2 linked regions of the Mus musculus genome follow. The protein of the gene in region 1 purifies or fractionates together with the protein of each later gene. This does not show direct contact. Links are inferred from orthologs where the notes say so. Each region holds a gene or a part of one and is shown on either strand. Other genes may lie near its edges.

What was found. Proteins that work in one complex are often made in the same cells at the same time.
Region 2: the proteins of Asf1a (region 1) and Hat1 purify together in Homo sapiens (affinity purification with mass spectrometry; 4 studies listed by BioGRID and IntAct, counting the BioPlex papers as one, with this or other methods). This does not show direct contact. The link is inferred for Mus musculus from reciprocal best matches to the Homo sapiens genes ASF1A and HAT1.

The regions. Positions count from the first base shown.
Region 1 is NC_000076.6:53,595,494-53,599,243, reverse strand, and holds the start of Asf1a (histone chaperone ASF1A), read right to left. Parts: upstream 2,284-3,750; 5' UTR 2,055-2,283; coding exon 1,946-2,054; exon of another isoform or gene 1-1,945. UniProt on the Homo sapiens protein: Histone chaperone that facilitates histone deposition and histone exchange and removal during nucleosome assembly and disassembly.
Region 2 is NC_000068.7:71,437,738-71,441,387, reverse strand, and holds part of Hat1 (histone acetyltransferase type B catalytic subunit), read right to left. Parts: intron 2,693-3,650; coding exon 2,576-2,692; intron 221-2,575; coding exon 53-220; 3' UTR 1-52. UniProt on the Homo sapiens protein: Histone acetyltransferase that plays a role in different biological processes including cell cycle progression, glucose metabolism, histone production or DNA damage repair. Coordinates histone production and acetylation via H4 promoter binding.

The DNA of each region.
Region 1 (3,750 bases):
GTTGGAGGTAGACACAAATCATAAACTCAAAATTACCTGTAGAGGAATTTCTACGTTGATCAGTAACTTAACAAGTCACAGTACAACAAAAGTATGGGCCCTAGAAACGAGCTTCTGCAGGGTAAATCAACGCCCATCTCCTTGCTCCACAGAGCCTCTAGATGGAGTAGACAGGAATGGCACCTTTGTCAAGGGTTCCTCTGCAGCTTTGGAATGACTCAGCTTAAAATACCTTAAAATAATGGTGCGCTGGTTTTGAATTGTACTAGAGGAAGGCATATTCTTGACTTGAGTAATAACACTGTTGTGAAAGGATCCCTGTTTAACATGGAACCCTGTTTGGTTTCTGTGGGTGGCTGGTTTCGAACTATCCAGTGTAATGACTCTGTAACAATATCCTAGAGCCTATCTTCCTCATACAATGTGGACCTAAAATGGAAGCCATCATATGAGAAACACCTGTAGTGTAAAGAACTTCTAATGCCTCGAACACTGCACTGAGTTAGGATGGACTCAGCCATGATCTTACTTTATATTTGATCATTTGTATATAAATTGGCAGTTTGAAAAAGAAAATTAAAATCAGTGTTGGGGTTGGAAATAGGTCTGATGTGGAAATGCTGTTACATTTCAAATGGAAAACACCCTTACACTTACATTAATCATCACAGTCTATTCAGAGACTACTATATTTTAATGTTTAGTCAATCTTCAAAATATGTCCCACTCACTAAATGTATGCACGTTATAATTTACATACGTATTAAAAACAGCAGGGTACGTTTTAAGTGATGGTTAGCCAAAGGAGTGAAGAGAAGGGGCTGTGACTTCCTTTTTACAATTTTTAAAGGTTTATTGCAATGGTTTTTATAATTAAAGTTAACATTCTACATGAAGTACATTGAAGAGATTATAAACTTTTAAATTAAAAGAGAAATTCTTTTCGTCATGATTAGGATAATACAAGGCATTTTGTCGAAATACTTTCAAGTCCCAAGATGTCCTCCTAGTTAACTAAAATTTAACACCAATGAAGTTAAACTTTTTGTTTCAAATGTTGAAAATGAAGCATTGATTTTAATAAAATCTAAGAAAAGCGTTAAGAAGCCATATTTTAGCTTTCTAAGTTCTGTATTACCTCACTATTTCGCATTTTTTAAACCGTAAAATGTACTTCAGAAAGGATTTTGCCTTCTATCTCCCAGCTAACGTTTGCATTTTCTCCATCTGCTTGGACGTGGAGTTATTTTAATTGCTTCTTCTTCACACGTTCTGGAGAAAGTCTTTCAGACTTTCTAAACGCCAGAGAAGTGCCTGGAATTGGTTAAGCACCCTGCTTCTGCTCTAGGGTGCCATGGAACTTCCCAGCCCCTCACCATTTCTCTCCGAGAGGTCTCTGTCCCCGGGGAGAGGCGGCGCACAGCATCCCGGGCGCCCGCGGAGAGCACGGCCGCCCCCCGGGAGCCAGGCGCCGAGGGGCCGAGCCCAGCGCCCGCCTTCCGCGCTGGTTGGTGGAGGGAGCCGGAGAGCGGCGCGAGGACAGCCTCGGCGGGGCTCGGGCGGGAAGGCGCGGGCCCGCTCGCCCCCGGCGGTCCGGAGCAGGCGTCGTGCCGCCGGGTAAGATGGCTCCGCTTCCCACCGGCCCAGCTTGCTCCCCACCGGGCCGTGGGGCCCTGGGGCCGCCGAGGCCGCACGACCCCCCGCCAGCGCCGCGCGAGCCGGGGGCCGCCGAGCGCCGCCCGCCGCAGACAAAGCTGACAACATGGCTCCCTCCGCCCGGCAAGTTGCTCGCAAGTTGCGGCGCGGCCGGCGTCCCTCAACTTCAAGTTTCCCTCGCATGGCCGCCCTCCCGCCGGCCGCCGGCCGCGGCCCACCCCGCGCGAGGCCGGGCCGGGAAACTTTAACGTCCGCCGCCGCAACTGACAGCCCGGCGCCACTCGCTCACCTTCAGACAGGTCCTCGATGCACTCGAAGGTGATCTCGAACTGGAACGGGTTGTAGAAAGGCGACGGGTTATCCAGCACCACTACATTGTTCACCTGAACCTTTGCCATATTTTGAAGAAAACACAAACAATGGGGCCGGGGCTGGCGGCACCACCGAGTCCCGCGCGCGGCCGCTCCGAGAGCGCAGACCCCCGCCCCGGCGCGGCGCGGCCCGACGTCGTGCAGCTGCGACTTGAGAAACTTTTTTTTCCTTTTTATTTACACGGCGGCACTCCACGGTGTTTTGCAGCTTTCCTATTTCACTAAACTACAGCCCATTCTGCCCTGATAACTAGCAGCGTTGCCCGCGATTGGCTGCCCCCGAGCTCTGACCCTCCTCCTCCAGCGAGGGCCGCGGCGGCGAGCAAGATGGGCTCCCGCTCGCAGAACGGACGGGAAACTTTCACTGCGGCTCCACCTGCTGGTGCGGACCAGGACAAAGGCGCAGAACAAAGTGAGTGGAATAGGGGCTGGGAGGCCCGCGCGGAGGCCGCCGGCGGCGGGGGAGGGGCGACGCAGGCCCCGCCCCCGCCCGGCGGGGCCGCGCCACACGTCGGGCGTGGCCGCGGCGGGACGGAGGGGGCGGGACCCGTGGGGTGGGCGGGGCCGGCGGTGGAAGCAGGAGGGCGCGAGGCGGCCCCGTGTGTGTGCGCAGCATGGGCCTTGGGGTTTTTCGGGTTTTCTTCCAGCCTTTAACGCTTCCCCCACCAGTGCCGGCGGCTTTGCTGGCTCTGCTGGATTTAGCAGATAAGGTGTGCTTTGCAGCCCTTGTCAGGCCCAACTAGCTGTCTGTGCTTCTCGCAATCGTAATGGTAGAGAATAGGGAGAAGGGCTGGTTGCAGTGGGAATAAATTGCATTTTTATAGCCCATGTCAGCTCGAAAGGAGCAAGCCATTTTGGAATTCAAGTTCTTGGCCACGACAGTGCGGTGAAATAGATACAAAATGAGGGCGGGGTGATTTTACACACACACACGCAGGCTAGAAAAAAAATATGCGATCTTCAGCTGCATGTTGGATTTCTTCCCATTTAATAACTGAAAAGATGTAAAACAAAACAAAAAAAAAGAAATAAAAGGGGGAAAACGTGATCAGTTACAGCGAGGCTTCTGTTGTTGGGGGGGCACAGAGAAAGAAGTCAAAAGTCGAGAAAATGGAAGTGTCTGAAGGCCAAAGGACAACAAATGTATTTTTGGTGGAATATGAGAAAGGAGAAAGCACAGATAACATGCCATTTGCTCTTCAAGGCATTTATAACAAACATTCATAAGTGAAAAAGTGCAGCACACCAATTCTGAGGAGACCTTCCATGCCTGTGACGCCTGTGAGACCATTTCAAGGCTGACTGGAGGAAAAGTTGCTTGTTTATGGTACTTAGCCACTGTGGGTAGACTAGGAAACAGGAAACGGAAACCTAACACCTTTGTGAATGTGAACTGATTCTTTTTACTGTGGAGGTGTTACTCATAAACCATTGGGTTCTTTTCTTTTTCCTTATAAATGAAACTACTAAACTATTCAATAAAATCCGGAGTGAAAATTATGTCTTAGTATTAATCTGCAAGTGAAGTTTCTGCTAGTGTGCAGAATTTAATTAATCTTCCTTGGACAGGTTGAGACTCAACTGGATTGCTGTGGATGATCTGTCCTTGTCCGAAGACCTTTAGTTATCATGAAGCAGGGCCTTCCATGTTTAAGGAGATTAAAGTGGGGAGAGAGCCACTTTTATTGTCAGTACGCTGGGCAATCGGTGTCCATCAGTTCAG
Region 2 (3,650 bases), on another chromosome or scaffold:
GGTTCACAGCACGATGCACAGAAATCTGCAGGTATTCTGGGGAACAAGGGCTTCACTCTTGAGCAAGTCGCTCAATGACACGCCGGTAGTCCTCCACCAGCTCCTGAAATCTCTCTTCCAGCTGCTCATGCTGCACACTTATTTCTATCTGGTTCATCTGATTTGTCAGCTCTTCTGGTCTCAGGCATTTCTTCATCTTGGCAAGATCCCTCTGCTTTTTCTAAGTAGGAAGCAATTATTTTTAGATGGAAAAAAAAAAGCATTTGCTCATATAGCTACAATTGAAATCTTTAAGTAGTAGGGGCTAGAAATGGTTCAGTAGTTAAAAGCACTAACCGTGCTTAGAGGAGGGCCTGGGTTCAAGAGCACCCATGCCAGCTCAGCTCTAGTTCATAAACCCAGACACATATACATAAAACAAATTAATTAAGAATATTAGTGACGCCAGGCAGTGGTGGCACATGCCTTTAATCCCAGGATGCAGAGGCAGGCAGATCTCTGAGTTCTGGTCTACAGAGTGAGTTCTGGGACTTGGAGAAATTCAAGAGACAGTGAGCTAAGAAGCTAAGATCCAATCTCAGACTAACAGTCTGGTTGGAATTCTGAACTGTTAAGTTTGTTTAGTCTTTCAAAAGGCAGTAGAACAACTCAAACTACATTAAGCCCATTCTAGAACTAATAAATGTTCCTTAAAAAGAACCCATTTATAATTTCTGACTACCAGGCAAATGTGCAATACTCATTACTTTAAATCTATAATCATACATTCTAAGACAAAGTGGAATAAAGTACCAGAGGTAAGTATGTATAAACCATCCACCCACCCAACTGAGACAGGCTCTGTTTGGCTGAAGTTGAAGGTACGTAAGAACTCTGTTGGCTGGAACTGCTATCTACCACCTGCCTCAGCCTCCTTCCGTGAGCTGGGATTAAAGGCACACATCACCTTGCTCGACTTAGAGATAAACAAGATTTTATCTCACCTCCCAAAATCTCACACAAACACAACGAATTTGATGCTCAAATCAAACTGCCCTTTAATATTTTAAAATATACTAAAATTATTAAAAACAGCATTTTAATATTCTTTAAACCATGTATTCTACATTGTAAATGTATGTATGTGTGTGTGTGTATATATGTGTGTGTATATATATATATATATATATATATATATATATATATATATATATATATATGTTTCACAAATTAAGGTTTTGAGACAAAGTTTCAGAATTTCCAACCTCCTGTTTCTACTTGAGTGCTTAGATTGTTAAGTATGCAGCACTGCTCACAAGCTATGAAGTGCTGCATGCTAGGCATGCACTCTACTAACTGAGCTACACCCCCAACCAGACTCTGAACTCTTGACCCACACTGCCTCTACTTCTTAAGTGCTGAAATCATAGGTACGTGCCACCTCTTTATAGCCCTGGCTGTCCTAGAACTTGCTCTGTAGATGAGGCTGGCCCCCATCTCACAGAGCTCTGCCTATCCCCACCTCCCGAGTGCTGGCATTAAAGGTGTGCACCACCACCCAGCTTTGCTTCTCTCTCTGGTTATGAAGTGTGTGTCTATGTGAGTATTTGTATTCAAGGATGCCCAAGGATAACATGGGCCATCCTCCTTAGAAATGCTGTCCACTTCCTTTGAGACAAGTCTCTCACTAGCCTAGAGCTCACTAATTAAACTACAAAGGTCAGCTGGCAAGTCATAGGGATCTTGTCTCCAGATCCCTACGCTCTTCTAATATTAAGCACATAGAACCACACTAACATTTTTTCATGAGTTCTGAAATTAATCATGCTTGCACGGCTCTACCGAATGAACCATTTCCTATCCTGTACAAATTAAGGTTTTAAAGAATGTGTTTAAAAAAAACCTTCTAAATAGATTTTGAGGAAAATACATGCAAAAATATCTGACAAATTGAACAAGCAATGTAAGATAAACTAAGGATGTATCTGGGCATTCAGATTTTTAAAGGATATATATAATTATATATACTTATATATTTTATTATATTTATGTTATTATATATTATTTATGTAGTTTTATATTATATCTTTCCTTTCCAGTCCTAGCTTTCCTTTCTTAAACAGTGAATATAATATAGCCAAAGAACAAAATGGTTAAAAGCCTGGAGGGATGGCTCAGTAGTTAAAAGCACTGGATGCTATTGAGGACCAGACCCCATGTGAGCAGCCTACAATCTTCTGTTAACTACTGTTCAGGAGACCCAGCACTGCACTTCTAGCCTCTGTAGGCATCTGCAATCATGTTGTTCATATTCCTCCAACACATACACATATAAAGAAATCGGTATGGAGAGATTATCGGTGGCAAAAAGCACTTGCTCTTCCAGAAGACTCAGATTCAGTACTTAGCAGCCACATGGCAGCTCTCAACTGCCTGTAACTCCAGTTCCGGGTGATGCCCTATTCTTGTCCCTACTGACACCAGGCATGCATGTAGTACACACACACACACACACACACATGCTGTGACTCATAAATACACTCAATTTTCCAAGTCACACGCACACTCGGGTACCAAAAGCGTCTCAAAGTCTGACCTTGTAAGGGCTAATTAGTCTTCTTTTAATATCCAGTCTGTAGCTTCTGTATTGCTCAGCATCGCTCATGTCAGTCACCAGCAGTCGAAGAATTTCATAAACCCTTCTAGCATGTTGCTAAACAAATGAAACAAAAAAATGTGAATACTTTCATGTTATGAAACAAGTTTTTCTAAAAGAACACATAATTTATCTGTTAATAGACAAAGAATTATGAAAACCAGCGGAGGAAAAAATAAAAGATAGTCTCTGCTCTCAAGAAATTAGTAGCCTCGAAGATAGTAACAAGTGACCGAAGTGTTATAGGACACGATGTTAGATAGCTTGGGACTGAGAAATGGCTGAAGAGGATTCTTGTGAGAATGAAAAGTAAAATCTGCTCTCACTCAGTCTCTCTCCCTCTTTTGCACGCATTAATGCTTGTGTGTAGCTCAAGACCTAACCCAAGGACTAACATACCCTAGACAAGTGTTCTGTCTGGCTATATCCCCAGCCTAAGCTGAATCTAAGAAGAAACATTATCCTACAAACGGGAAGGAAGGCACTACCTGTACATTTTTGCATGTGCACATAGAACATAGCAGCTTGTTACTGCTGGAGCATTTTAAAACAAAAGCAATAGAAGGAAGACACTGGAGAAGAGGACTGACAGAACCAGCCTCCAACCTAGTCGCTATCAAGTTTTTCAATAGGAGCAAAAGTGATGTGCACAAATTTTTGCTCTAAGTAAATAATTTTTTTAGCTGCATACAAATGGTGCAAAAATGAGAAATCAATTAAGCCACTAGAAGCTGCTCAGTGGTGGACCACTAGCCCAGCAGTCCTAGGCCAAAGTAGAGAGGGGTGGAGGCAGAGAGGGAGGGGGAAGGAGGAAGGAGTATGGAGGTGAGAGGGAGGAGGGAGAGAACAATTGCTTGCACAAACATTCAATTAAAAAGCTAAGCTGTGAGACTGAGGAAATAACTCTTGAAGAACTATGATCAATTCCCAGCACCCACATGGGAGCAAAAAACTACCTATAATTCTAGTTTCAGAGAATTTGATGGCCTCTGAACTCTGAAGGCTCCTACACACA